4 linked regions of the Callithrix jacchus genome follow. The main gene of each other region encodes a partner of the protein of the gene in region 4 in a complex. Links are inferred from orthologs where the notes say so. Each region holds a gene or a part of one and is shown on either strand. Other genes may lie near its edges. The genes, in order: ITGB3, NTRK1, GRB2 and SHC1.

The links.
Region 1: the proteins of SHC1 (region 4) and ITGB3 are in contact, whole or in part, in an NMR structure (PDB 2L1C), measured with the Homo sapiens proteins. The link is inferred for Callithrix jacchus from reciprocal best matches to the Homo sapiens genes SHC1 and ITGB3. Residues at the interface, in NP_892113.4 of Homo sapiens: Ser175, Met176, Arg177, Asn182, Arg184, Thr185, Gln186, Thr188, Arg189, Glu190, Ser193, Leu194, Arg208, Arg209, Lys210, Arg214, Pro215, Leu216, Ser217, Ile219, Met257, Gln258, Ser259, Ile260, Ser261, Phe262, Ala263, Ser264, Gly265, Pro268; in NP_000203.2 of Homo sapiens: Trp765, Asp766, Thr767, Ala768, Pro771, Leu772, Tyr773, Lys774, Glu775, Ala776, Thr777, Ser778, Thr779, Phe780, Thr781, Asn782, Ile783, Thr784, Tyr785, Arg786, Gly787, Thr788.
Region 2: the proteins of SHC1 (region 4) and NTRK1 are in contact, whole or in part, in an NMR structure (PDB 1SHC), measured with the Homo sapiens proteins. The link is inferred for Callithrix jacchus from reciprocal best matches to the Homo sapiens genes SHC1 and NTRK1. Residues at the interface, in NP_892113.4 of Homo sapiens: Met176, Arg177, Ala178, Leu179, Ser259, Ile260, Ser261, Phe262, Ala263, Ser264, Gly265, Gly266, Lys279, Asn283, Arg285, Ile301, Ile304, Gly305, Phe308, Glu309, Phe312, Lys313, Gln314, Tyr315; in NP_002520.2 of Homo sapiens: His489, Ile490, Ile491, Glu492, Asn493, Pro494, Gln495, Tyr496, Phe497.
Region 3: the proteins of SHC1 (region 4) and GRB2 are in contact, whole or in part, in an NMR structure (PDB 1QG1), measured with the Homo sapiens proteins. The link is inferred for Callithrix jacchus from reciprocal best matches to the Homo sapiens genes SHC1 and GRB2. Residues at the interface, in NP_892113.4 of Homo sapiens: Asp423, Asp424, Pro425, Ser426, Tyr427, Val428, Asn429, Val430; in NP_002077.1 of Homo sapiens: Arg67, Glu71, Arg86, Ser88, Ser90, Asp94, Ser96, Gln106, His107, Phe108, Lys109, Leu120, Trp121.

The regions. Positions count from the first base shown.
Region 1 is NC_133506.1:87,183,239-87,190,113, reverse strand, and holds part of ITGB3 (integrin beta-3), read right to left. Parts: intron 2,933-6,875; coding exon 2,766-2,932; intron 1-2,765. UniProt on the Homo sapiens protein: Integrin alpha-V/beta-3 (ITGAV:ITGB3) is a receptor for cytotactin, fibronectin, laminin, matrix metalloproteinase-2, osteopontin, osteomodulin, prothrombin, thrombospondin, vitronectin and von Willebrand factor.
Region 2 is NC_133519.1:17,257,685-17,265,043, forward strand, and holds the start of NTRK1 (high affinity nerve growth factor receptor), read left to right. Parts: upstream 1-2,481; 5' UTR 2,482-2,552; coding exon 2,553-2,764; intron 2,765-5,966; coding exon 5,967-6,041; intron 6,042-6,342; coding exon 6,343-6,414; intron 6,415-7,359. Other genes in the region: INSRR (insulin receptor-related protein), read right to left, coding at 209-293. UniProt on the Homo sapiens protein: Receptor tyrosine kinase involved in the development and the maturation of the central and peripheral nervous systems through regulation of proliferation, differentiation and survival of sympathetic and nervous neurons.
Region 3 is NC_133506.1:131,302,627-131,310,078, forward strand, and holds the start of GRB2 (growth factor receptor-bound protein 2), read right to left. Parts: upstream 3,968-7,452; 5' UTR 3,754-3,967; intron 1-3,753. UniProt on the Homo sapiens protein: Non-enzymatic adapter protein that plays a pivotal role in precisely regulated signaling cascades from cell surface receptors to cellular responses, including signaling transduction and gene expression.
Region 4 is NC_133519.1:15,381,631-15,389,089, forward strand, and holds the start of SHC1 (SHC-transforming protein 1), read right to left. Parts: upstream 4,179-7,459; 5' UTR 3,958-4,178; coding exon 3,463-3,957; intron 2,865-3,462; coding exon 2,794-2,864; intron 2,258-2,793; coding exon 2,194-2,257; intron 2,040-2,193; coding exon 1,920-2,039; intron 1,685-1,919; coding exon 1,631-1,684; intron 1,459-1,630; coding exon 1,407-1,458; intron 1,225-1,406; coding exon 1,098-1,224; intron 563-1,097; exon of another isoform or gene 1-562. UniProt on the Homo sapiens protein: Signaling adapter that couples activated growth factor receptors to signaling pathways. Participates in a signaling cascade initiated by activated KIT and KITLG/SCF.

The sequences.
Region 1 (6,875 bases), on a different chromosome or scaffold from region 4:
TCGTTTTACTCACACTTTAGTTCTTGGCACGAAAATTGATAGGAAATAACAGGAGGAGATGAGGTAGAATGCCATCCTGCCACTGTTTCTTATTTCTTATTTATTTATTTTTTTAGATAGGATCTCATTCTGTTGCCCAGGTTGGAATGCAGTGGCACAATCTCAGCTCACTGCAACCTCCACCTCCCGAGCTCAAGACATCCTCCCACCTCAGCCTCCCAAGTGGCTGGGACTACAGGCACACACCACCATGCCTGGCTAATTTTGCATTTTTTGTAGAGATGGGGTACGGAAGGGTTTTGTCATGTTGCCCAAGCTGGTCTCAAACTCCTGAGCTCAAGCGATCCACCTGCCTCAGCTTCCCAAAGTGCTGGGATTACAGGTGTGAGCCACCACACCTGTTCGCCACTACTATTTCTAAGGAGCTAAATTCAGCCTATTACTCTTCAGTGATCCCACAGCATTCCAGAGCAGAACCTCTCCTGTTTCACCCTTGTCCCCATCTCTTTTGCCCTTCTCCCTTTTTCCATTCCCTTTGACAGTGATGGGAGATGTAGACAGGGACAGAAGTGTAGCAGGTGGAGTTCAGAACACAGAGGACAGCTTTTGCTCAGATAATTTTTAAATTGTTTTCATCTAATCCTGCCAAGCACTAACCAAGGTTGGGCATGGTGGCTTATGCCTGTAATCCCAGCACTTTGAGTGGCCAAAGTAGGAAGATCACTTGGGCCCAGGAGTTCGAGACCAGCCTGGGTAACAGAGTGAGACCCTGTCTCTACATGGGAAAAAAATACAAAAATTAGCTGGCTGTGGTGGTGTGTGCCTATAGTCCTGGCTACTCGGGAAGTGAGGTAGGGAAGTGAGCCCAGGATATCAAGGCTGCAGTGAGCTGTGATGGCACCACTGCATTCCAACCTGAGTGACAGAGTGAGACCCTGTCTCAAAAAAAGAAGGAAGGAGGGAAGAGAAAGTAAAGGAAGGGAGGGAGAGGAGGGGAAGAGAGGGGAGGGAAGAAGAGGGGAGGAGAGGAGAGGGGAGGGGAGGAGAGGGGAGGGGAGTAGAGGGGAGGGGAAGAGAGGGGAGGGGAGGAGAGGGGAGGGGAAGAGAGGGGAGGGGAGGAGAGGGGAGGGGAGGGGAGGGGAGGGGAGGGGAGGAGATGGGAGGGGGAAGCATTATCCACAAAACTGTCATGTGACCAGGAAAAAGTAAGACCCTCGCTAGGTTTCCCAAAATATTTTCCAAAAGAGGCAGGTGGATCACAAGGTCAGGAGATTGAGACCATCCTGACCAACATGGTGAAAGCCGGTCCCTACTAAAAATACAAAAATTAGCTGGGCATGGTGGTGCAGGCCTGTGGTCCTGGCTGCTTGGAAGGCTGAGGCAGGAGAATTTCTTGAACCAGGACCTGGGAGGCAGAGGTTGCAGTGAGCTGAGATCGTGCCATTGCACTTCAGTCTGGCAACAGAGCAAGACACCGTCTCAAAAAAAAAAAAAAGGTAACAAATCCCATAAGGTCTAGAAGTCCTTAATGGTAGCTTCATGAAACACATTTTTGTGGGACTCACAGGTACAGGATGTTCCACACTGTTCTAACAGAAACATTTCAGTTTCACGGGACCCTTGAGTACAAAACTCTGGGGTCACCATCAAATGGGAACAAACTTGCAGCCTAATCCTAACCCTGGACATTAGGGGAGTCAAATGGCCATTTGGAGGGTCCAGGAAAAAAGTTGAAATGTGAAAAAAGAGTCAAAAGGGAATACAGTAGGATTAAGTATATAGAATGTTCTCAGTAAATGCTTGTTTAATTAAATAAAATAAGAATAAAAGAGTAGAGTCTGATTTGGAAGCAAACTTTTTTTTTTTTTTTTTTTTTTTTTTTGAGACAGAGTCCTTCTCTGTCATCCAGAGCACGGTACAATCTTGGCTCACTGCAACCTCCATCTACCAGGTTCAAGTGATTCTCCTGCTTCAGCCTCCCAAACAGCTGGGATTATAGGCGTGCGCCACCATGCCTGGCTAACTCCATCCATAGAGATGGAGTTTTGCCATGTTGCCCACCTTGGCCCCCAAAAGTGCTGGAATTACAGGTGTGAGCCACCACACCCAGCCTTGAAGTAACAATTTATTTGAGGAAAAAGAAAAGAATGAGGTGGAATGACATCCTGCCTCTATCTCTAAGAGGCTACCCAAAAAGTATCCCTATAGTAACCTAATTCCCTCCCAGAATCAGGCAAAGTTCTTAACTTCTCTGCACTCAGTTTCTTTACCTACAAAATGGGAATAATAATATTGCCCACCACGTAATGTTGTTAGAGGAATGAAATAAGTTAATACATAAATGGCATTCAGAACAGTTCCAGGCATATGCCGAATCCTCAGGAAATGTTAGTGATCATATTTTTTCCTATTTGTGTTTAAGGCTTTGGGCATCATTAGCATATAATACATTATGTGTTCTCAGTGTAGGGTTGTCTTGTCTTCCTCAGTTGGAGAATATGTTTCTTTCTCATTCCTTCAGGGTCAGGGCAAAGCTGGGTCCTGTCTGTGTTTGGTCAGTACTACCTGACGTGGCTCCTAGTGACTGTATGGTAGGTTTTTAGGAAGCCGAAGGACAAGGGGACAGTGAAACCATCTCTCCCAGTTTCTAGAACAGAGGATAACAGATGGCACTGGCTGAACCTGACCACCCAAAGCATCTGCTCCTTCCACTGAAGAGTCTCAGACCAATGACTTTTTAGAAGACGCCCAGCCCAGCCTCTTACTGTGTCCCATTTTGCCCTGGCACGTTCTTCCTCAAATTTAGCAAACTCTTTTCGGTCGTGGATAGTGATGAGGAGCTTCCAGATGAGCAGAGCAGCAAGGCCGATGAGCAGAATGGCCCCCATCACTGAGAGCAGGACAACTAGGATGTCAGGGCCCTTGGGACACTCTGTCAGGAAGAAGCACAGAGCAGGGTAATTGTGAATGAAGCAGGAGTCACTTGAACTGGCTGTGAATAAAGTGTTCTTGACAAAGTAATTAAAGTCCTTGATGGAAATAGGACAGTTTTCAAAAATTAATTTTTTAAACGGACAATCTTTAGGACAGCAATAATCTGTCCTGAGTGGCTCAAATCAGAAGCCTAGACCTGGTAATCTCTAGACAGAACCCAGCCATACCTTTGTGTGGGGGTTCACCCAAGTGTTTCTTTTAAAAATTAGACAGAAAGAAGGGAACAACAGACACTGGGACCTACTCGAAGGTAGAGGGTGGGAGGAGGGTGAGGATCAAAAAACTACCTATCAGGTACTATGCTTATTACCTGGGTGATGAAATAATATGTACACCAGACCCCATGACTCACAACTTATCTACAGAACAAACCCACACATGTACCTCTATAGCTAAAGAAACATTTTTTAAAAATTAAAAAATAAAAAGTTGGCTGGGTGCAGTATCTCACACCTGTAATCCCAGCACTTTGGGAGGCCAAAGTGGGCAGAGCACCTGAGGTCAGGAGTTCGAGACCAACCTGGCCAACATGGTAAAACTCTGTCTCTACTAAAACTACAAAAATTAGCCGGGTGTGGTGGCATAAACCTGTAATCCCAGCTACTTGAGAGGCAGAGGCACAAGAATCACTTGGACTTGGGAGGTGGAGGTTGCAGTGAGCCAAGATCGTGCCATTGCACTCTAGCGTGGGTAACAGACTAAAACTCCATCTCAAAAAAAGAAATAAAATAAAAAATAAAAATTGATTTTATTGGCAATACTGAATAATCAGGAGATTCTCCCCCTAAAATTTATATTATTCTCTTTAAAAAGAAAATCCAGGCCAGGCACAGTGGCTCACGCCTATAATGCCAGCATTTGGGAGGCTGAGGCAGGAGGATAATTTAAGTCTAGAAGTTCAAGACCAGCCTGGGCAACATAGTGAGACCCTGCTGCTACAATTTTTTTTACTTAGCCACACATGGTGGCATATGCCTGTAGTTCCAGCTACTCAGGAGGCTGAGGTGGGAGAATCGTTTGAGCCTAGGAGGTCAAGGCCTGGGAGTTCATGCCACTGCTCTCCAGCCTCGATGACAGAGGGAGACCCTATCTCAAAAAAAGGAAGAAAGAAGTGGGGGAAGGAAGACAGAAAGAGAGAGAGGGGGAGGTAGAGAGAAAAAAAAAGAAAAAGAAAAAGAAAGAAAGAAAGAAGGTAAGTCCAAAGAGCTAGAAACATTGGTACCTATATTCCTGCAGGGCAGCAGCTAGCTAGAGCTGAAGAGGAGCTGCTCCTTTTAGTTAGAATGCATGTTTTCTAGTTCACCAGAATCCCTACCACTCTCTCGTCTCTTTCCTAAAGGAAGGCAGTGTGACTTGGTGTGTCTGTGCTCCTGCGGACATTAGAGTGAGACTCCCTGGGTTTGAATCCTGACTTGTGACTTAACTTTGCTACATGATATTTGGAAAATTACTTAACCTTTCTGAATGTCTGTTTCCTGTTTCTCCATCTTTAAAATGAAGATAGTAATAGCACTGACTTCAAAAGAAACGTGTTATGAGGAATAATTAAATTAAATATATCCTAAAAACTCAGAACAATGCCTGGCACAGCAAAAGTGTTCAGTAAATATCAGCTACCATTGTAAGTGATCTTCTTATACCCAGCTGTTTTCACTAACTTATTTGCTTCCTTAGCCCCTGCAAGTATTTGTTTCTGTTATCCTGGTTCATATATTTACATTCCTGAAGGCTATGAACCTAATGACATTTTTTGCATTCTTAGAGACCAGGATCTGCCAGCCAAGACAATATTTTGAGTTCTTTCCCAAAATATTAGTCATCTAAAATCATAACCCTATTGAAAGCTGACTTCCTGTTCAACCCCAGTCAACAACTACCACAGAGGCATGTCATCCCTCTGGGGGTCAGACTGAGTATACTCTGCAGAGCTCTACTTCCCATAAATGTCAGGTATCTAATAGGTGATCTTACTCCAGTAACCTCAAGTGTTATGAAACCAGCTGTTTATATATGAGGGTGCTGATGAGCCTGGAGAGGAAGTCACACCCACTTTCCACACTGTCTTCCACCTTCCTCTCTAAACATACACCCAATGCTCACCACATACAACACAAAAACAACCACCACCACAACCCAAGCTGGCTGTCTCCCAACCTGCCAAATTACAACATGTCTATAATTAAATGAGTGCCTGGAGAGAAACTGTGAGGTTCCAGTGTCCAAGTTCCCAGGAGTGAAGGGCCCCAGTTCTTCTGGGAAAAACAATTATGGATTCTCTGGAAGACTTGGATAGGGCTGACCCTCAATTCTCAAAGTAAAATCTCTTCAATTCTACATATTAGTATGGGCAGGACAGGTAGGGTGCCAGAAGGTCTTCAGGGGAAAACAATTTGTTAACCATGTATCTGGAGAGGAGTTTGGGGCAGGCTTCCTAGAAGCAGAAGGCCAGATCAGGTGACCTCTGGAAGGTCTTTCCAGCCACAGCAGTAGACCAATGGCAAATGACCTAAGGTCAGAGAAGTCTGGGTAGGGTTGGCAGATTCAGCAAACAAAAATACAGGACGCTTGGCCAGGTGCAGTGGCTCACACCTGGAATCCCAGCACTTTGAGAGGCCAAGGTAGGCAGATCACTTGAAGTCAGAAGTTCAAGACCAGCCTGGCCAACATGGTAAAACCCAGTCTCTACTAAAAAATACAAAAATTAGCCAGGTGTGGTGGTGGGCACCTGTAATCCCAGCTACTCAGAAGACTGAGGCATGAGAACTGCTTGAACCCAGGAGGCAGAGATTGCAGTGAGCCAACATTGAACCACTGTAATCCAGCCTGGGTGACAGAGCAAGACTCTGTCTCAAAAAAAAACAGGAAGCCAAGACAAATTTGAATTTCGGATAAATAATTATTTTTTACTATAAGCGTGTACTAAATATTATATGGGACATAGTGTATTTTATTTGGCAACCACATCTGGGAGTGTTAAGAGCCCAGCTCAGGAGCTCATTCCATGTGGTTAAACTCCACTTGGCCAATGCCAAAACGTTTGGCAGTGCTGTCTTTACTGCTCTATCATAGATCAGCCCTTCAAAGAGAGCACCTGCAAGATCTTAAGTTGGGGAAGAGAAAAGAATGATCTCCCCCATTGTCTGAGACCACAGCTGCAACATTCTACTACAAGCCAGGAAATGATTAGAGCTGGGAGATGAGTGGGGAGGCAGAGCCTAGAATTCCAGGGCAACAACATAGGATACGTTGGCCGGGCACAATGACTCATACCTGTAATCCCAGTACTGTGGGGGTTGAGGCTGGGGGGTGGGTGGCAGTGATCACTGGCGCCTAGGAGTTTAAGACTAGCCTAGGCAACATAGTGAGACTTCATCTCTACAAAAAATAAAAATTAAAAAGTAGCCAGGTGTCGTTGTGTATGCCTGTAGTCCCAGGGAGGCTGAGATGGGAGGATTGTGTGAGCCCAAAAGGTTGAAGCTACAGTGAGCCAAGTTCACACCACTGCTCTCCAACCTGGATGACAAAATGAGACCCTATCTCAAAAAAACAATTGAAAACACAGGTCTATGGATCTGGGCTCCATTCTCCTAATGTGGAGGAAGGGGTGTAATGGCAGTAAATACTCAAAAATGTTTTCCAATAACTCATCTTAATCCATTGTTTAAGGGGAACAAAGGCCATAAAGGTGTTAAAGGGAAGCAAGCAATCAACAGCACTGGATGGTGACAAGCCTGTGGCTGGTGTGTTATGATGGGATGAATGCTTCCAGAAGGCACTGTCTTTTCAGTGTTCAGGGCAGCTTTGCATTAGTGCCTCAAACCCATCCCTACATCCTGCAGTAAACCTGGAAAGGTCAACACCTCCAACCATCAGGCCTTCCT
Region 2 (7,359 bases), about 1.9 Mb from region 4:
TTTTCCCCTCTGAGGGAGCTGAGGGAAAAACACCTTTATGCGGGGAACTCACTGCTTCTCCTGCTGGGCGGTTCTCCTGAGAGCTAACCGCAGCCTCCATGGTCCAGTGCAGAGTAAGTGGATGTTCCGTGGCTGCAAGCCCAGATGTCTGGCTTCCCAGTTGGCTGGGAGAGAGGTAGGGGTCTGGGAGCCAGTTCTGGGGACTCACCCTCTAGTGCATCCAGGCCAAGTCCCAAGGAGAGGACGATCGCAGGCAGGCATGCTCCCCAGGGCCACAGACCAGGTACTGCCATTGTCCCAGTCCTGGCTTGTGTCCAGTCCCAGCTCTTCTGGTGGCTCTGGGGAGAAGAGTTTGACAAGCCCTAAGGGACACAGAGACCAGGGTTCAGATAGGAGACGGAGGGGGCAGGGGCAGAGGCAAGGAATCCCACACAGCAGGAGACAGAAAACAAGAAATGAGAGTCACAGAGACACAAAGATAGTGACAGGCAAGTGGAGACAGAGATGGGGACAGAGATGCAGACAGTGACGGGTGGAGTCTCGGGCCTCCAGAGGCAGAAAATGACACAGGGTTCTGAGCAAAAGGCAAGCCAAGAGGCCGGCCAACCCTGAGGGCGGAGCAGAAGGCTGGGGACGCTCCCAAGAAGGGCAGCATGAGACTCCACAGGGAGAGTCTCCCTGGATCCTTCTGGGCCCGCGGCCCCCCAGCGCTGGCTGACCGCGCTGGCTGCGGTCTCTCCCAGGGCGGGCACGCAGGGGCCGCGCCCAGCCCGCGCCCAACTCCTGCCCTCCCTGCCCCCCGCCGAAACAGATTGGTTCACAGGGATCTCTCAGTTCTCTCCGCCCCTCCCCCGCCAAGCCAAAATATTTAGCCTGACAACTGAGGGGAGAAGAGATCTGTTGGGGAAATAAGGCCAAAATACAGGGGAGGGTGGGTCAAGAACTGAGCGTCCCCAAACTCCGCTGTGGCTGCGACGGGTCCCCCCAACCCCTTAGCCACACCGCAGGCTTCTTCCAAGTGGGCTGCACGGCCGGAGGGGCAGCCAGCGCCCGGGCTTCTGGGGAGCGCTGTGTCTAGATTCTGCTCCCCGGTGCCTTGACATCTGCGGGGTAACTTCTGGCAGCCTCGACCCGGGAGAACCTGGACAGCCCATGGCCTCTCGGAGCCTCTCTCAGCCTCCGAGGAGGCCGCCTTGTCCTCTTTGGAGACCCCTTAGTGCCAGGCTCCCTCACTGACTAGTACCTTGATTCTGACCAAGATCCCGATCAAGAGGGCGATCACTGTGTGGGGCTCTGCCTCCCTCTAGTCACTTTCTTGAGCTCAGGCTTCTCGGTCAGTCTGTGTGTCCCTGTCTCGGGAACTTGGGGGGCCGTCCGTGCTGGGGTCTTGGCAGAGAGGAGAACCGTGACCCTCTAGGAGGCTGTCCTTCGCTTGCTCCCTGGGGCCTTACCTGTCCCCCCGCCAAGAGAGACCCCTCTCCCCCTCTCTCTCCACAGCTTGAGACGGATGGGCTCCGGCAGCCACAGAGGCTGGCGCGGTGGGAGGGGTTAGGACCAGCCTTCTGCTGCCCTGGGTGCTGGAGATCCCGGGACTTTCCAGGTGCGCGGCCTCCAGGGGCGGACGGGTCCTCAGTTCCACACGGGGGCGGCTCCCGCGTCGGAGGAGCTAAGAGAAGATCTATTAATTTCTTCACGAATAAATCGATGCTCTTGTCAGGGAGGCGATCCATGTCGGCCCTGTCCTGCCCCGGGGCCAGCGCTGACTGGCCGGGGTCAGGGACTGAAGCTGGGACCCGAAACGTTGCGCATTGGGGGCTGCAGATCGCGCCCCCAGCCACCGGCCCGGGCGGGGAGCTTGTACCTTTGCGCGCGGGCTTCTCGCGCCACCCTGTGGCCTCTCTTGGAGGCGCGGTCTTGGCTCACTCGACTCCCTTCGGCCGAATTAGGCGACCCCTTCCCTTTCTCTGGCCGGTCAGTGTCTTCCTCCCAGCTTCTGCAATTGATCCTTTTATAATCCTTTTCCTTTTCTTCCCAGAGTTCGGAGTGTTCTACCTAACTTACTCCAGGTGACATGCGCACTTCCCCAGGCACTCGCTCCGTGAGGATGGAGCGCCGAGGCTGGGGCTGGCTAGGTTGACCTGGACGGCAACCTTCACTAACTCAGTCATCTCCCCGCCTCCCCAAATGTAAAAATGCAGCTGCTTTAAGCTGGGAGAAATAACGTATCAATTTCCCACTCCCAGCCTCAGCAGACACCTCCCAGCCGTTCTGCAGCAGCCCCTCCGCATCTCCCGGAGCTGGGGGCATCCTCGGGGAGAAGGTTGACCCTGGGGGCCCCTAACAGCGGAGGGGACGGAGTTGGGGGCGTCAGAGGGGAGGAAAGGGGGTGGAGACAAGGGGCGGGGCGGGGACGGGCGGGGGCCTCTGGCTCCGCCCTTTCCTGGCGGCTGGGTCTTTAACACCGCCCGGCGCACATGTCGGGGGAGGCCCGGCAGCTGCAGCTGCGAGCGCACAGACGGCTGCCCCGCCAGAGCTAGGCGGGCACCGCCGCGATGCTGCGAGGCGGACGGCGTGGGCAGCTCGGCTGGCACAGCTGGGCTGCGGGGCCAGGCAGCCTGCTGGCTTGGCTGATGCTGGCATCTGCAGGCGCCGCACCCTGCCCCGATGCCTGCTGCCCCCACGGTCCCTCGGGACTGCGATGCACCCGGGATGGGGCCCTGGATAGCCTCCACCACCTGCCCGGCGCAGAGAACCTGACTGAGCTGTGAGTGTTCGGCGGGCGAGGGGGCTCGGGGACAGGCAGGCATTGCCGTGCCCCGAGGGCGCTAACTCGCCACTTGTTTGCTGGGTCAGGCAAGGCCATCACAGTGGAGGGCTGGCACCACGCAGTCTTCGGCGGTGCCCGGGCGTTCCTCCGCAGCCGCCGCTGCCCTAGCAAGCTTTATGGTGACAGCCTGGATGTTTCCTAGTGTTCAGGGCAGCTGGGCAGCCGGCTTCAGGGAGATCGAGTGGGGAATCTCCGTGGACCAGGTCTGAAAGAGCCCAGTCGTCTAGAAGCCACACTTTCTGGAGCTCAGCCAGGAGCCCCTGCCCTGTCCCACTAGAGAAGCGTGGTGCGGAGAAGTCCCCAGTTTGACACCCTTACTGCCAGCCCCCACCCATTTCCTTGTTATGATGAGGCAACCCCAGCTTTTCTCCTGGAATTGGGGATTGAGCTGACATTGGTGGGAGGTGGTGAGGAGCGTAGCTGGGTGGTTGAGCTCTCCTTTTTGCATTTTTACCATTCCTTGTCCCAGGACCCCTTGATTTGGATCTGGGAAATGGGACCCCCTCCTGGATTTTCTCTCCCCACTCCCATCTCCCTCTCCGACCGGGACTCTCTACCTGGGGTAGGGAGTCAGGGTCCTTGCTGAGAGACCCTCCTCCCTCTGGGGCACAAAACTGGGAGGAAGCTTCAGCATTCTGCAGGATTCTGACATTCTGCAGGAATTGGTTACAAAATACTCAAGTACTTTTTAGCAGCGGGTGAAACCTATGGTAGCATGCGGTAATGATTGGCCTGGAGGTACTCAGGCATTACATGGTGATGGCTGGAAAATATTTGAGTATTACATACGACCATCGTGGCCAGTGAGACGTCTAGAAGAGGGGAGGAACTGCTAGAAAATTCTCCTCCTGTGGCCTGGGGTTTAAAAGGTGGACAAGGAACCCTAGCCTAGTGCAGTGAGGGACTGGAAGGTATCCGAGGTGGAGCCCATCACTGTCTGGAAGGTACCCGAGGTGGAGCCCATCACTGTCTGGAAGTTTCTTGAGCACCTCGAAATAATTGGCACTGAGTTACTCGGGTTATCTCATGGTAATTAACGGGAAGGTACTCAATTTCCCGAATGGCTCTAGGGAGACCAGGAGTAGAGGAGATGGCTTAGTCTTGGTCTGGCTTAGGTCTCTGCATGATGGGAGGGGGCATGAGATACGGCCTGCCAGTCCTAGTGCAGTTCTCATCACCCTGGGCCTTCAGACTGGGGTCCAGACTCCTGAGTGCTCCCCATCAGGGCTCACATTTCCCAACTCCTTCTAAACCCCAAGTGGGTCTGGCAGGGTAGGGATGGGAGTGGTAGGGGGAGTGGACAGGTCAGGGCTGGGGACTAAGTGGCGGGCAGTCTGCAGGCATGAGCTGAGATGTCCCCCTGGGTGGGGCTGCAGCCTGACACCCCCTCCCCACTGCCTCCACAGACCCCTCCCTCCTCCCTCACCCGCAGAGCTAACGAGCAGATAATGGACTCGAATAGACAGATTGATTATGAATCCAAACGAATGAGGCAGCTTTGGGGCAGCTTTGAGCAACCTGGCCTGACAGCTCGCACACACCCTGCCAGCCCACCGCATTCTCACCCCCTCCCTGGGTCCCTCCAGCTTGAAACCCTCTGGGCAGGGGCTGGGGGTGGGTAGAATAGAGAGATATGCCCTCCCTCAGAGTCAGTGGAGGTTACTTTCTAGGCCTCCACTGAGTCCATGGGGAGACTTAGGACCTGACCCTGCTGTCCTGCTGGGGCCAAGGCTGGGAAGGGAGGAAAGGAGGAAGGGAGTTTCACTCAGGCTGGTCCTGGTTCCTACAAGTTAGGGAAAGTTAGAGGGTAGAGGGAGAGAGTTCTCAGAACTGGCAGTGAGTCAGGGGCCCCTGGCGTGTATTGTTGGGGTGGGGGGGCACACTAACATGCCACTGCAGGGCAGCCGAGTTCTGAGGAGCTCCCTGGTACGTCAGATCCAGCAGCCAGGCAGGGCCCGGGGCGTCAGCTGTCCCCCAGCTCCGAATGCCTGCTCTTCCTCTTTCTTTCTTGTCTCCCTGTCTTGCTTTCGGTGCCTCTCTGTCCTTATCTCTCTGTCTCTCTGTCTCCCTTCTCTCATCTGTCTTCTTTCTTGCCTGGCGCTATCTCTCTGACAGTCTCTTCCTGTCAGTTTCCCTTTCAGTGTCTCTGTTTCACTCTCTCTCTGTTTTTCTGCCCTTCTGCCCCCACGCTCCTCATTAAGCCTCGCCATCTTTCTCTCTCTCTTTTGCTGTGGGAGTCAGCCAGTCTGTGTCGTTCCCCCCACCCCAACACTGACTGCATCCTCTCATCCAGGAAGAGGACTGTCCCTCTCCTCTTCCTGGGTCCCTTCTCGGGGTCTCTGACGGATAGCCTCTAAGCCTCTTGCTTGATCTGCTGAAAAGATGGTGGGGGAGGTTTGGGTGGAGTAGGGGGTGCTCAGGTGTGGAGATGGGTCAGAGGCTATGGGGGTGCAGAGATGCTAGTGTGTGTGTGTGTGTGTGTGTGTGTGTATAGCAGTACAGGTGAGTCTGGGCATGTTTGGGAACACACATTTGCATGAGCACAGGCTTCGTCTGTGCTGGGTGGGGCAGTGGCAGGACGCGCCTCAGCCCTTTGTGGAAGCAAGTGTTTCAGCATGACCTCCCATTGGTGAGTGTGTGCCAGGGACGTCTGATGTAAAAGCAGAACACCGACCTGAGAATGGGCTTGTGTGTGTGCACGTGGGAGATGTATGCCAGCTTTGTTTCTGTGTGTCCCTGTGTGAGCGTGTTCATGCAGCACACGTTCATGTGTGCATGTGCATGAGTGTCATCTGTGCAGATGCTTACGCCTCTGTATGTGCGCATGTGCACACCTGGCTGGGTGTGTGTGTGCAAGAGGTATGTGAGAGTGCATATGTGTGAGGGTGTGGGGAATCCATGCATGTGTGTGCGCATGTGTGTTCATGGACACATGTGCACGTGTGACTTGAGGAGGTGCATCTCTATGCACATGTATGCATTTGTGTGTGCATGCCCGTGTAAGTGTGTATGCAGGTCTGAACAGGTGCACATGTGTGTGCCTGTGAGGTGCATGTGTATTGTGAGGGAGGCAGGCGGGTGGGCATGAGAACTCAAGTATGGGCCTGAGCCCTGTGACTCTTATTCCTTCTCCCCACAGCTACATTGAGAACCAGCAGCATCTGCAGCATCTGGAGCTCCGTGACCTGAGGGGCCTGGGGGAGCTGAGAAACCTGTGAGGGAAATGGGGGCTGTGGGTGTGGAGCTCAGCATGGGCCCAGGAAGGGGTACCAGAAAGTCGGGGATGGCTCAAGGATCCGAGGGCCTGGGAGGACTTGAGGGGCTGAGGACTGAGGGACTGGGAGAGGTCAGGAAGCTCAGGGCTTTGAGGGGTCTCGGGTAGTTGAGGAAACAATGAGGGGCCTGGGGAGGGGGAGGAGCTCAGCATGGGGGACTGGAGGGCTGGGGTAGCAGGGAGAGCCAGGGACCCAGAAGAGCTGAGACCTGGGGACTGATCCTCCCGCACCCCTCCCCAGCACCATCGTGAAGAGTGGTCTCCGTTTCGTGGCGCCAGATGCCTTCCATTTCACTCCTCGGCTCAGTCGCCTGTGAGTGGCCAGTGCTGGATAGTGGGGGTGGGGGAGGACACCCAGACTTGGGCTGCTAATGGGCTTGGCTGTCCCCAGGGAATGATTATGAGGAGGGCCCAAGCCTTATCAGGGAAGTCACCTCACCCATTCTCCTGGGGCTTCCTTCCACCTCCCGCAGGGATGGCATGCTCTCACCCTGCCAGCTAGAGGTCCTTCTTGCCGTCTCACTTCCATGCTTCATGCTTCATGCTGCAAGGACACTTCCCATAGGTGCCTGCCCTCTCTCTCTTCCCAGGGTTCAGACACGCAGCAGTGCAAAGGGAGCAAGCGGCAGGAGCAGAACTCCTGGGTTCTGGCTGGGACTCCATTTCCCACCCCCTCCGTGGTGGGAACGCATTGACTTGGCCCCTAGGACGGCCTGGGAGCTGGGGTGTTAGGTCTGTCACTATCACCCTCCTCATTCCTGGGGATCATAGCTATCCCTCCTGTAGAGCAGAGGACCCCAAACTTTTTGGCACCAGAGACTGGTTTCATGGAAGACAATTTGACCACGGATGGTGTGGGAGGGGAAGATGATTTCAGGATGAAACTGTCCCGCCTCAGATTATGAGGCAGTACTTAGAATCTCAAAAGGAGCGCACAACCTGGGTCCCCCGCAGGCGCAGTAGCTCACAGTATGGTTTGCTTTTATGAGACTCTAATGCTGCTGTTGATGGACAGGAGGCGGGGCTCCATCGGTAATGCGCACTTACCACTGCTCACCTCCCACTACTCAGTGGCCTCCTAACAGACCACATATTACCCTGTTTATAGCCCCTCTTCCTTGCTGACTTTTTCTTTATTTTTTTATTTTTATTTTTATTTTTGAGATGGAGTTTCGCTCTTGTTACCCAGGCTGGAGTGCAGTGGTGTGATCTCTGCTCACCGCAACCTCCGACCTCCGCCTCCTGGGTTCAGGCAATT
Region 3 (7,452 bases), on a different chromosome or scaffold from region 4:
CTTGACATCGTGATCCACCCGCCTCGGCCTCCCAAAGTGCTGGGATTATGGGCGTGAGGCACCTTGCCCAGTGAAAATGCATTTTAATACACCTAACCTACCAAACACCATAGCTCAGCCTACCCTACCTTACCCTAAATGTGCTCCAAACACATTAGCCTACAGTTGAGCAAAATCGCCTAAGACAAAGACCATTTTATAATCAAGTGATAAATCTCTCCTATAATTTACAATTGTACTAAGAGTGAAAAACAAAACAGTTGTATGTGTAAGTACAGTTTTTACTGAGTGCTGTTGCCTTCACGAGTTAAAAAATCTAAAGTCTAGTCTGAGTCTACAGACTCAGAAAAATTCTCTGGTAGGCAATTAATGATCCTATTAAGTATAAACTTCCAGTTAATTCACTCCCCGTCACAGTACTAAGAATGCTAAAAAATTTTCACATGTAAAAACAAATCGGAGAGGCGCAATGGCTCATGCCTATAATCCCAGCACTTCAAGACAAGCAGATCACCTGAGGTCAGAAGTTTGAGACCAGCCTGCCCAACATGGCAAAACCCCATCTCCACTAAAAATACAAAAAATTAGCCAGCCATGGTGACAGGTGCCTGTAATCCCAGTTACTCAGGAGCCTGAGACAGGAGAATGGCTTGAACCCAGGAGTCAGTTGCAGTGAGCTGAGATCACACCAGTGCACTCCAGCCTGGACTACAAGAGCGAGAAACTCCATCTCAAAAAACGAATCATGCCTATAGTCACTTATTCCATTAGGCTATTCTAAATACTGACTTTGTGTATACACAAAAAATGTAATTTTAAGTTTAATAATTTAAAGCTACACAGCAGTCTTATTATTTATGGCTGCATTTGTTAACAACAGTTTTGATCCTTAGACCATCTGTATCAAAATCCCTCCATTCAGAGACTGATTCACTAAGGGAAACATCCTGGAGTTCTACCAGAACCTAATTTTAAAAAGATCCCCCAGTGATTTTTATGCATACTGAATTTTCAATCACTGCTGTACCATAAGGATGCCTTAACCAGATTTTAAAATTTGCATTCCAGATAATGCACTACAACGTCCTTGCATGAAATGAAAATAACGTATATTCACTTGGCACAACTGGGAAAAAGGCAACTTTGACACACACACAAAAATACACTCTCAAAAGCCACTTGGTAATGGCGGAGACTTCCTCTGAATTAAGCAGTTAAGAATTAATTTCTCTCAGGAGAGCATGGTGACTCTATTCTGTATTACTTCCTTTCTCCAAAATCCTTTGCTCTTCTGTTCTATGCAACAATTAGAACTCCAATGCACAATATGCAACATAACAGGAATTACTGAAAAGAATCTCTAAGTACCAGCAACTGGTAGTACTTAAAACCCAGCAAACCTCTCAAATCGGAATAACTTGCTGACAAGTTAAGTGCCTCAAACATTTAAATGTCTGAGTTTAGGCTCCGCACAGGAGCTCACACCTGTAATTTCAGTACTTAGGGAGGCTGAGGCAGGCAGATCACTTGAGGTTAGGAGTTCGAGACCAGCGCGGCCAACATGGTGAAACCCCGTCTCCACCAAATACAAAAATTAGCCAGGTGTGGTGGTGAGAGCCTGTAATCCTAGCTACTTGGGAAGGTGAGGCACAAGAGTGCTTGAACCCAGGAGGTGGAGGCTGCAGTGAACCGAGATCCTCAGCACCACTCACTCCAGCCTGTGCAAGAGTGAGACTCGTCTCAGATAGATAAATAAATAAATACATACATACATACATACATACTAGGAGATAGCTGATCATAAGAATTAACTCTTTTAAATCTTGAGATTGGGAACATTTTGAACTTGGGAAGGAGCAAATAGAGATTTCTTTGTCAAAAACAACAACGAAGGCCAGTTATAATAGATGCAGAAAAAAGATCCCTGATTTTTAACTAAAAGCCTAACAAAGAATAAATTAGTACTACTACAACGCGCAGGCTTCAACTAATTCGATGGTCTAAATCAGTTCTAGCCTCTTACATTTTTCAGACTATTTTAACCTAATATAGACTTATAGTTGACCTTCACTTTTTAACATTAACACCCCCCACTAAAAGTCAAAAAGTCACATAAGCCCTGAGCTGACCCAATATTCCTTACTATTATAAAGACATACTGGAAGAAAGCATAAATAGGTACAAAAGCATAATCTTAAAAAACTAAAACACAAAACAACAAACAAACCACACTTGTAACCTAGTGGCAGGACTGAATTCTTAGGGATTAATTCAATCTTTTTTTTGAGACGGAGTCTCGCTCTGTCGCCAGGCTGAAGTGCAGTGGTGCGATCTGAGCTCACTGCAATCTCCGTCTCCCGGGTTGAAGCGATTTTTCTGCCTCAGCCTCGAGTAGCTGGGACTACAGGCGCGCGCCACCACACCCAGGTAATTTTTTTATTTTTAGTACAGGCGGGATTTCACCATGTTGGCCAGGATGGTCTGGATCTCTTGACAAAGTGCTGGGATTACAGGCGGGAGCCACCGCACCCGGCTGAATTCAATCTTTTGAGCCCCCCACCCCCTTCTCAGCGGGGGAACCTCAGCCTCCAATGGCTCTCTAGCAACCCTTCTGGCTGACTAGCGAACGCAGGGGAAAGCGCAAAAGTAAAGGCACCAAAGCAGGAAAGAGGATCTCTTCCCGAGAAAAAGGACGGAATCTTGAAATCAGAGAAAACTAACAGTGCGAAAGGGAAGAAACCTCGAAAAATTACGCCAGAGTGGGGACTACCAAGGAGGAAGGGGAAGTAGATTAGAAAAAAAAAAGAGGGGGGTGGGGGAAGGAAGGGGCAAATGACTTGCATTACACAAGCACTTCTTGTCCCTAGTGGAATGGACAGAAGTAGATAGAGAGGTAAGGAAATAACTGGAGAAGTACTGAGTGAAAGAGGGGTTAAGAAAGCCAGGGACTAATGCTGATTTCTCTCATGTGTCTGACATTTCTGAAAGTCAACAGCATCAAGAAGAGACACACCTCAAATGCACTTCAGTCCTCTGCAAACTGCACTTTCATAGCCTTTGAAGCCAGGCTTGAAAAACTTTCCAAACAAGCCATAACTCATATGTGGTTTACAATCACAGAGAGGGCGCGCTGCAAATGAAAATTACCAGCGCCCGCTCTCGCCGCAATGTTTCCTCGGTGCAGTCCAACCTGCTGCTGCTTAATTTTTCAAATAATTTTTTTTTAAGTCTCAGAATAAAGACATCTCCCCCGGGGAGATGAACGTTCTACCCCACCGTGGATTCCCGCACAAAATTAAGCCCAAAGACGCCAAGAGATGGTGACGTGGTTGTCATGCAGGTCGGAGGCGCATCAATCACCACAGCTGCAGCCCACACCAAGTCCCCCGCCGCCGGGATCGGGCGGACTGACTCAGTCGGGGTTTTGCCCTTCCGGGCTTCCCAGGCCCCTTTCGTGCAAACCCTTCCGACGAAGGCAGGGGACTTCACGAGGGAGCCCCGACTTCTACCCCCGGGCTCCCGGACACTGCACAGACAGCCGAGAGCCGGAGGAGGACGTTCCCCAGGAAGGAAGCGCCCCAAAAGGGGAAACGCAGAGTCCAGAGCCTTGGGCATTCCACTCCGCGTCCCGAGCTTCGCCGCCCCGACCCGACCCCAAGGGCCGGGGTCCCGGTTCCCCCAGGGCCCACTCCCGTCGCAGAGCGGAGAGGAAGAGACACAGGAGCGGCGCCGAGCGCAGCCGCCCGCACTCACCGTGGCGCAGCTAGTCCGCTCCGCGTCGGGCCTGACCCACCTCAACGCTGAGAGCGGCCGCCGACCCCGAGGCTGCTCCGCGAGGGCGGCGCTTGCTCCCGCCGCCGTCACGGTCACAGACACAGAAACAGACACAGACACAGCCTCAGCCACAGCCGCCGCCGCCGCCGCCGCCGCCGCCCGGTCGCCGAAGCAGCAGAGCCGCCTCGCTTCCGCTCGCCGTGGGTGTCCCGCGAGAACTTCTCCACGAGGCCCCGCCCCGCCCCGCCCCCGCGAGACTTCCCCCGGCGGAAAACGCCCAAAGCGCAAGCGCTCCTCCTGGGCCGGGCTCCGGCAGGTAGTGACTAGCTAGGCCCCAGGGCGCATGCGCCAGACCGCCCGCAGCAGGTGGCCTCGTCACGGCTCCGCCCCTGGGTCGCCGTAACCCTCTCGGTACCAGAGCGGGTAAATAACAGCTTAGTCCTGAAGGAATAAATTCTTACCCCGTCTAATCACTTTCTTTTCTCCTCTACCAAACCAAGGCAATTGGATATGGATGGGGGCTGGGGGGAGGAAGAGAGTTTCCAGCCTGAAGCACTCCAAACAGAAGACCAGGTCTTGAAATATTTGAGAATCCGTACAAACTCTGCAATGTTGAATGATTGGTGGGTTTGTTTACTCATTTATTTAATTATGTGCCTAATATAGGCTGAACACTGTGCTGGATATAGAACAGAAATCCTGGTCCTTAAGGAATTTACGGTCTAGGGAAGCAGAGAAAAATAAACAAATAATGCCATAAGTACTGTTATTTGGAGTTTGCTGAGAAAGCTAAAAAGATGGAAGAAGAATGGCTACTCTGCCCATTGCAAAAGAGCCTTTACAGAGGTGATGCGGCGATGTCTAAGCTGAGTCTTGGGGGATGAGTAGGAGTTTGCCAGGCAGAGAAGCCAGAGTAAGGGCATTTCAGGGAAAGGGAATGGCACGTAAGTACAGAGGCTAAGTACAGCGGAACGGAGGCGTGAAAGTCGTGTGCTGTGCAGTGCTAAGTAGTTCAATTCCTGTATGAGGCCGGTGAGTATGGGGGAGTGGCAGAAGATGAGGCTTCGGTAAATAATTCTTGTTTTTCAGTTATCAAAGCTCTTTCCAATTAAAGGATAGAACAGAACACACCTAGTGTTAATGTGTCTTCTGGAAGCCAAAAAAATAGCGTTGAGATGAGAATAACCAAGCATCTGATTGTACAGAGGAAACAAGCCCATTGAAACACAGAAAATGAGCCGGGCACGGTGGCTCAAGCCTGTAATCCCGGCACTTTGGGAGGCCGAGGCGGGTGGATCATGAGGTCAAGAGATCGAGACCATCCTGGTCAACATGGTGAAACCCTGTCTCTACTAAAAATACAAAAAATTAGCTGGGCATGGTGGTGCATGCCTGTAATCCCAGCTACTCAGGAGGCTGAGGCAGGAGAATTGCCTGAACCCAGGAGACAGAGGTTGCCTTGAGCCGAGATCGTGCCATTACACTCCAGCCTGGGTAACAAGAGCGAAACTCCGTCTCAAAAAAGAAAGAAAGAAACACAGAAAATGAAATGTTGAAATGTTCTTTCACCAAGTTTTTATTGAGCATCACCTGTATGCAAGGGGCTTTGCAGGATAAATGACCAACCAGATAAAGCCTCTGCTTTCAGTGCTTTGTAATCTAGTTTCCTAGTCTGTAAGACAAGCAGTTGACCCCAAGTGCCACTGAACTACACATAGGGATGGCTGAGGAGGGATCCAGTACTTAGTGCTGAGCTAATCAAGAAGGACTTGGTTTGAATGGCAAAGTGACAGCAGAGAGAAAAGAGGGAAAAAAATCTGCCAATTTCTTTTTTGGGGGGGGGACAGAGTCTTGCACTGTTGCCCAGGCTAGAGATGCAGTGGCATGATCTCGGCTCACTGCAACCTCCGACTGCTGGACTCAAGAGATTCTCCCCTCTTGAGCCCAGGAGTTCTGGGCTGTAGTGCACTATGCGAGTCGAGTGTCCGCACTAAGTTCGGCATCAATATGGTGATCTCCCGGGAGCGGGAGTTTGCCTAAGGAGGGGTGAACCAGCCCAGGTGGGAAACGGAGCAGGTCAAAACTCCCATGCTGATCAGTAGTGGGATGGCACCTGTGAATAGCCACTGCACTCCAGCCTAGGCAACATAGCGAGACTGTCTCTAAAAAAAAAAGAGAGATTCTCCCACCTCAGCCTCCCAAGTAGCTGAGATTACAGGTGCCTGCCACCATACTTGGCTAATTTTTGTATTTTTAGTACAGGTGAGGTTTTGCCATGTTGACCAAGCTGGTCTCAAACTCCTGACCTCAGGTGATCAGCCTTCCAAAGTGCTGAGATTACAGGTGTGAGCCACCACTCTCAGCCATCAGCCAATGTTTTTGATTAGTCAGAGCCTAGAAATTGGGGGCAAGAGTAATTAGAGAGAAGGCCAAAATGCAAAATGCATGGCTTAGGTGTCATAGTCAAGTGATGGGCAACCTCTGAAGGTTTCTGAACAGGAGATATCTGATGTGAGGTGAAAAATAACAAAAGGACCCTCTATTTACCACTTGATGCATACTTAAGTCATAGCGCCTCCACAGGGTGGATAATATCTCCATTTTACAGACTTGGAAACTAAACCTTAGAGAGGTTAGTAATTTACATAAGGAAACCAAAATATAGTAGACCTAAGATTTGGACTAAGGCCTGTCTTGTTCCAAAATCCACATTTTCCCCCCACTATGCCACTTCGTTCTAAAATAGCAGGCAGAAAAAGAATAGAAATGAAAGGGAAGGACTTGGCTGCTAAGCAGAGAGGAAGACGTGAGGGAAGAGTTGCAGTTTTTTGTTTTGAGTGGGCCTGGGAGAACACAGAAATTTGCCAGTCAAGAGGTGTAGCTGACTGAAGGGGGCGGGCACAAAGAACAGGGAAGGGCAGGTGAGGAGATGATTGTAGAGGTGAAGGGAATTTTTCCCTTCCCCTCAGACAGTTTGAGTCTGCTGAAATAAACTGGCAATAGATTAACAGGAGAAAATGCATAAAAATTTATTGACAGGCAGTGTGCGCATTTACCATACAGAATATGAGATTCAGAGAAGAGCTAGGTGGCTGAAGCTTAAAGAGCACCATCTTTATAGAGGAGAGGGAGATGAGGGCAGGTCGGCAATATTGAGAGGTAGTAAATGATTTTTAGGGAAAAGGAATGAGCCCAATGACCTGGGACGAAGTTCGTCTGAGCTCTGGGAGCTAGAGATTGTGACAAATTTCAGGAAGGTGAGGTGCGGAACTTCACTGTGAATAAAGGTTGTCTTTACTAGGCAGATAAAGTCTCCCAGATAATCTCGCTGTCCTTAGGAGAACAGACGAAAAGCCTGTTTGGATGTGGTGACAACTCAGTCTTTTCTCTGGTAGTTAATCTTTCCTGGTTATTTGATGAGATTCCTAGGTTGGAAGTTTTTAGACGATTGCATCTTTTTTTTTTTTTTTTTTTTTGAGACAGTTTCACTCTTGTTGCTCAAGCTGGAGTGCAATGGTGCCTTCTTGGCTCACTGCAACCTCTGCCTCCTGGGTTCAAGCAATTCTTCTGCCTCAGACTCCCGAGTAGCTGGGATAACAGGCATTCACCACCACACCCAGCTTATTTTGTATTTTTAGTGGAGACGGGTTTTCTCCATGTTGGTCAGGCTGGTCTCAA
Region 4 (7,459 bases):
GGTGGGCAGGAGGAGGGAACGGAACAGCAGCCATGTATTCGGTATTTACTATGGGTTAGGCCTGAGGCTGAGTGTGTTATATACCTAATCATTTCATTCTCCTGGCAACCCCATAAGATAGGTATTGTTTTCTTTCCTAGTTTTACAGATGAGGCAAATGAGGATCAGTGGTGAAAAGATTTGCCCAAGGTCTCACAACTAAAAGGTGACAGACTCAGATTTAAATTCAGGTTTGACTTTAAAGCTTATGCCCTTGGGCAGGTGCAATGGCTCATACCTGTAATCCCAACACTTTGGGAGGCCAAGGAGGGAGGTTGTTTGAGCCTAGGAGTTCAAGACCAGACAGGGCAACGTAGTGAGACTGCCTCTACCAAAAAAATAATAATACTTAGCCAGGTGTGGTGGCATGCACCTGTAGTCCCAGCTACTCAGGAGGCTGAGGTGGGAGAATCACTCAGCCCAGGATATGGAGGCTGCAGTGAGTTGTGTGATTACACCACTGAACTCCAGCTTGGGCAACACAGCAAGATTCTGTCTCAAAATAAAAAAGTAATGCTCTTGCCCTTGATCACTGTGCTATCTGCCAGCAAGGAAGGGAAGCATTATGTAGTGAGGTGGGGAGAAGGCACTACAGAATAGTTTAACCTCTCCTAATCAGTCCCTCCTGGCGCCACTGCTTATCCCTCACGGCCAGAGGTGGGAAACACTAATCTCAGGGAAAAGAGATATCCTCACAAACCCAAATTCTTGATGGCTTCTGGAAGCATTAAAATACAGAGTGTCAGAGAAATGGGCAAGCAAGAGGGATGGGAGTAGAAAAATCTCATCTAGCCAGAGAGAGAGATGTAACTTGGATGCCTCAGACTGCAGCTCCACCATGAGCAACAGGAGGAAAAGCTGGCCCTGCAGCAAGCAGGGCCTCAAGAGTCTTTCCTTGTGGGCCACAGGAAATGGAAGAATCACAGGAAGGGGGAAGCAGAGGCACGCAGGTTATTCCCTCCCTAAGCCTCTCAGCTCAAGTGTAGGAAGAGCAGCCCTCCTTTCCCAATCCTGTTCTGGGGCTTAAGAGCTGCTGCACATCCTCCCCACCTGCTCACCTGTCATGGGGGGTGACCAGTTTGGGTGGGTTCCTGAGGTATTGTTTGAAGCGCAACTCGAAGGCCTGACCAATGGTGCTGATGACATCCTGGGCAAGCCCTTCAGGACACTCCAGAATGTGGCAGGCTGAGGGCACAGCAGAGGCGGTCATTGAGCTGAGCCCACTGGGAGGAGGCATAGACAGGGCCCTCATCTTCCTCAGCAGGAACCCCTACTTAGCTCTACTTAGCAAAAGCGGGTGCAGACCCCAGGTCCCGCTCATCTCCTCAAACAGCCGGACCCACCCAGTGCTCCCCACCATGCCTCACCTCTCTGATTCACAGGGTCTTTGGCAACATAGGCGACATACTCGGCTGTGTCCTGGGGAGGAAGGTCAGAAAATGTTACAGCTCCACTTTACTCCTAACCCCTAAAACCCCGTCCTTTTCAGATATCCCCACAATCCTAGCACCCCCACTTCTCTAATAAATGTCTTCCCAATCCCTAGCCCCTTGCTCTTCTCCCGCCACCTTTGCTCTGTTCCCCAACTCACCGGATCCCCGCCGGATGCAAATGAGATAGATTGCATGTGGTGGTTGGCGATGATCTGAGAATCAGGGCAGGGGATGAAGAAGGAAGGGAATGCCATGCGTCAGGCGCCTCAGGGCCCAGAACCCTCACACCCAGTTTCATTCTCTGGGTTCCTTATCCCATATCCTCACTTCCTCCGTCCCTACTGGTCTCTTGCTCTCAAGCCCTCTTCCTAGTTTTTGGCCTCCTAACTAGATCTCCCCTTAGCACCCCCACCAGTGTTTCTAGTCCCCCTGCCCAACTCCACCAACCTGCTTGCAGTCTGCGGCCATGAGGTTGAGGCTGCTGGTGGAGATGGTGAGAGTGATTGGCATCCCAGCAAATTTCAGGTTACTCCTTCCCAGGATAGAGCTGAGCGGGCGGCTACAGGGCTAAGGTAGGGCCCAGGGTCTCAGAAGGTGAGGGTTCCCAGCTCCGGCAAACCACACTCTTGCCTTCTGGCCTTCCCCCACATGCCCCACACTTGCCTTCCCCCTGCCCCTCACATCTCCCAGCTGCATCCCTATCCCCAAGGACCCCAGATACCTTTCTCCTCCTTGTCGCCCCCTTAGCACCCGGCACAGCCTCACACACCAGACTGATGGCCTCCCTGGGGAAAGAGGGGTACTCAGACCCAGTGCCTGCCTGCTTCCCACTCAGCTGGGGCTGCCACAGGGCTGGGGGAGGGGAAAGCCAGGCCAGACTCCCAGGGCACTCCAGGCTCTTTGTCGTGGTGGATTGAATTAAGGGCCTTTAATATTTGATGACACTGAGAGGCCGCTTCCTGGCTGATTGGGTTAGGGCCTCAATGGGTACAGACCCACCCACTTCCAGCTACCAAATGTCCCATTCCCTTCCCAAAGGCAGCAGCAACCTTCCATCTACCCCCATTTTCTACTCCAGCTCTACCTGCCAGCTGCTTCTGCCACCTTCCCCACAACTCCCAAGGATGGATAGGTAAGGAGGATCCAGGCCAGAGGGGCCTCCTTTCAGTAAGATACAGAATTACCACCAGCTTTCTCTCAATCCCCTCCACTACCCAAAGATCAGCCCCCACCAGCAGCACTCAAGTGACCACTCCCCTCCTCCCTTTCCTGTGGCCTCACTAACCCCGGGACTCCCCCAATCCACTCCCTCCCCACTAACCTGGTGACCTGAGTCCGGGTGTTGAAGTCCAGGGCACGCATTGACTGCAGGACCTCCACACAGCCCATGTACTAAGCGGAAGGAGGGGAGGACAGCAGGTCAGCAGCTCCCCCACCCCAGCCCCTTCACAAAGGGCCCTAGGACTTTGCCCACATGGTCCTTAAGGGAAGTAGAGATGGAGAGGTTCTGCCCACTTCCCGTGGCTACATCCCACAATCAAGGTGAAAGACAACAGGGAATGAGGAGAGAAAGAAAGGCAGGCTAGAAAGAAGGACCTCGCACTGGGGAGAGAGTTTGGAGGGGACCGACAGGCATTGGCTGGGATGGAGTGACAACTCCAGAAAGCAGGAGGAGAATGGAGGGGAGGATCAATAAGTCACTCATTCCAACACTTACTAAGAGCTTCTGCCATGCTGGGCATTGTGCTAAGCATGGCAGGGTAGAGGTGGGGGTGGGGGAGTCAAAAGAAGGAAGGGGGCTCAGGCAGAGCTGGAAGGGAAGGGACTACAGAATCAGGGAAGGGATGGGAAAGGTTTAGGAAATAGGACACTGAAACGGGGTTGTAGAACAGCAGGAGAAAAGAGATTCCAGCCAAGCTGGAGTGAGCAGAACTGGGGGGGGGGGGGGGGCGGGGGCTGGGAGGGAGTGGAAGAGAGAATGTTCACTCACCCGAACCAAGTAGCAAACCCCGGGTCCCATGACTTTGTCGTTGGGATGCAGCCAGCCCCGTGTGGGCTTATTGACAAAGCTCCCGTGGCGGGTCCACTCCTCGCCCCCCAGCTGGCCCCCTTCCACCCGAGTCCTGCGCCCGCCGCCTCCACTCAGCTTGTTCATGTCCTGGAGGAGGGGTAGGGGGCCTGAGTCTGGCATGGCTGCCCCTACGATCCCCTCCCCATCATCGGCTGCCCTTCCTGGCTCCCCCTTAGGCCCGGGGCGCCCCCCAGCCGGATTGGCGAGCCTCAGGTTGCTCATCCGCGGGAAGAAGGAGCACAGGGTAGTGGGACTATCGTCCCCAGGCAGAGGAGGCAGGATGGGTCCCAGGGATGAGGCTGATGGGGAAGGCAGCTCCTCCGGGGGGGTGGACCCTGAAGCCCCCTCCTCCAGCGATGACAGAGACTCATTCCGGAGTGGATTGTACTTGGGCTTAGGGGGCAGGAGATCCATAGCTGAGGTGAGAAAGGGGCTGCTGCCCGGCCTGGCCCCCCTGCCAGTTTGGGCAAGGGGGCCAGGCAGAGGGTATCCCCAGGCCCTTAGCCTGGTCGGACCTCTGTGGCCCAGGAGTCACAGAAGTCCTGGGGAGGGAGAGGGACAAGTGGGTTCCGCTCCCCAGCTCAGACCCAGACAGTTTCAGGCCCCATCCCCGCCCAACGTGGAGCCTCTTCTCTGGCTGAGAAGAGAACAGGCTGGACCCAGAGCTGCCTGGCTCCTCCCTGGGGGCGGGGAGCTAAGGAGAGAGACCAATCCGGAGGACAGTGCTGACTCACAGGCTCAGAGGGGCTGAGCCCCACCCTGCCCCAACCTCGAACTCTCCCCAGCCCTATACAAACAACTAGTAATCTGGGGAGGAGTAAAGTGGGGGGTGGGAGGAGAGGATGGAGAAATAAGACGGAAAGGAGGGAGATAAGAGGAGGTGCGGGTCACTGGAAACCGGACACAGGCAGACCAAAGGGGCCAGGAAGCCAGGCGAGAGTAGAGAGGAATGAGGGAGGAAACGGAGGCAACTGGGGGTGGAAAAGGGAGGAGATCTCAGAGCTCAGCATTTCCCTTCCTGTCCTGGTTGAACACTAGAATTCCCCCATTCTCGAGCCCAGGCCACCCCGCACCACTACCACATACAGTGAGCCTGGGCCATTAGCATCCTCTGCTACAACAGCTGTGGACTGGAGCTAGCGAAGTGGGGATGGGAAGGAAGTGGTCCCAATGGATGCAGAGCAGGGTCAAGAGGAAGAGCAAAGCTGGTGAAAATCAGGGAATAAAGTCCAACCTGGATGGTACATCAGGAAGCTACCAGGCAAGAAGTGAACAAGAGGACATGCTGGTCACAGCTTGTTCTCTATGCGCGGCATCTACCACACCAAAGAGCTATGGCTCACAGCCAAGCACTATCCAGTCTCCCCTTTCCACAGGCTTAACACAGTACATTGTCAAGGGTGAGAATGAGGCCTCAGGTCCCCACACCCACTCCAAACCACCCCACTTCATATCCCTGCTCTTACAGGGCCCTAAGCCCCACCAAAGAGTACAGTGTCCCTCACACCTGGGAAGGAGCCTGGCTGAAAGAAGAAACAGTTCTCCAAGAGACATAGAAGCTACACGCCAGGAAAGGACAGAGAGATCAGAAGACGCATCCATGTCAATAAGGACAGGAGAAAAAATAAGTACAGGACAAAGGGATGTCAGGAGAAGACGGGCTGAAGCTGGCACAGGGAACAGTCCCAATCCCATTCCCGCCACCCACGGCTTCCTGCCACTGCTCTTCTGGAGAATGCCATAGGAAAGCTGGAAAGTGACCAAAAAAACAAGTTAAAGATACATATTCCCACCAGGTGCAGTGGCTCACGCCTGTAATCCCAGCACTTTGGGAGGCTGAGGCAGGTGGATCACCTGAAGTCAGGAGTTCGAGACCAGCCTGGTTAACATGGTGAAACCCTGTCTCTACTAAAAATACAAAAAATTACCTGGAAATGGTGGCAGGTACCTGTAATCCCAGCTCTGGAGGCTGAGGCAGGAGAATTGCTTGAACCCAGGAGGTGGAAGTTGCAGTGAGCCGAGATCAAGCCACTGCACTCCAGCCTGGGTGACAAGAGTGAAACTCCACCTCCAAAACAAACAAAAAAAAAGATACATATCATCTCAAGCTCACCTTGGAATTACCCTTAGATTTACTTGTGGATTTATATATATAATATGATTATCCTGATTAACAACATTAACACTTAAAGTGTGTTAGATACTGTGCTTAACTTTTTTTTTTTTTTTTTTTTTTTTTTTTTGAGACAGGGTTTTGCTTTTCGATCTGTCCCCCAGGCTGGAGTGCAGTGGCATGATCTTGGCTTACTGCAACCTCCAACTCCCGGGCTCAATCAATTCTCCTGCCTCAGCCTCCTGAGTAGCTGGGACTACAGGCCCATGCCACCACGCCAGGCTAATTTTTTGTATTTTTAGTAGGGATGGGGTTTCACCGCATTAGCCAGAATGGTCTCGAGCTCCTGACCTCGTGATCTGCCCTTGTCAGCCTCCCAAAGTGCTGGGTTTACAGGCATGTACCACCGTGCCCGGTCACTTAACTCTTACATCTCCACTTAGTGCTCATTCCAGGAGAGCTTTGTCACTCTGTCAGCTAATCCTGAGAAGGAATTTTATCACTTCATTTCCAGCCATCTCTCAGGCATAGAGAGAATGAGGAAAGGATTCCACCATAGCCTCACACCCCCAAAACACACAAACACACACTAGGATGTCCTCATCTGTGGAGATGATATTCTGTGGGAGCTTGCAGTATCCAGAGCCAGAAAATGACCGATGGGTGTGGGCGTTTAGAAGAAAAGAAAGAAGTATAACTCTTTAAATTTGCATAGGGAGAAAGAAGATTGCCTACTGGAAGTCCAGGTGATTGGGTGTAGGGGAAAAGCTGTGTGTGGCTTCTCAGCCCAACTGGGAGGAGGGGAGAGGAGCGGGAAGTAGCAGGAAATGGCGAAAGCCTCAGGAATGTTTCCAGCAGAGAAGGCTGGGCACACGGGACCAGGAGGAATGCCCAGAAAAGATCTCTGATTAGGGGGAGGGGAAGAGACAGAGAAGTAGCGACTGAACTGTCCCTTAAAAAAAAAATCAAACAAAAAGAGTATATTATCTACTGCCACTCCAAACCACCGTTTTTCTGGTAGTAGAAAACTTTCACTCCTGTCACACCCACATGCCACACACCAACAAATCCATGGTCCTATCCACTGATGTATAGGTAAAGCCTAGAGCTATTTCTGGGGTGGAGTTGGTCCTAGGAAGGGAAAGCCAGGAAGTGAGGCTGGGAGTCTTGAGAGCAAGTCTCTCTCCCTCTCATGCCAAACCCCAAGTTCAGCCCCTTCAAATAGCTCTACCCTTAGAGGAAGTTAAGAAAGGGGAAAACAGGCGCGGTGGCTCACGCCTGTAATCCCAGCACTTAAGGAGGCCAAGGCGGGTGGATCAGGAGTTCGAGACTAGCTTGGCCAACATGGTGAAAGCCCGTCTCTACTAAAAATACAAAAATTAGCCGAGCATGGTGTCGGGTGCCTGTAATCCTAGCTACTCGGGAAGCTGAGGGAGGAGAATCACTTGAACCCGGGAGGTAGAGGTTGCGACGAGATCGCACCATTGCACTCCAGCCTGGGCAACAAGAGCGAAACTCCGTCTCAAAAAAAAAAAAAAAAAAAGAGAGGAAAACGGCTGCCTTTAATCTTATGCCTCACAGCCAGAGATGGGAATTTTGACTTCCCACTTGGGGGAGCAGAAGAGTGCTCGGAAAACTGATCCCAAGGCCCCCAAAAAAGAGAAAGGACAGGGAAATATAAACAGGTGGAGTTTCAGGGATTGAAATCAAGGCTTTTCAGTTGAGGATCTAGGTCCCACAAAGATAAAACTACCAAGGGGGCGTGGTCCCCTAGGACTAGAGCATTAGACTTCTAAGCAGGGA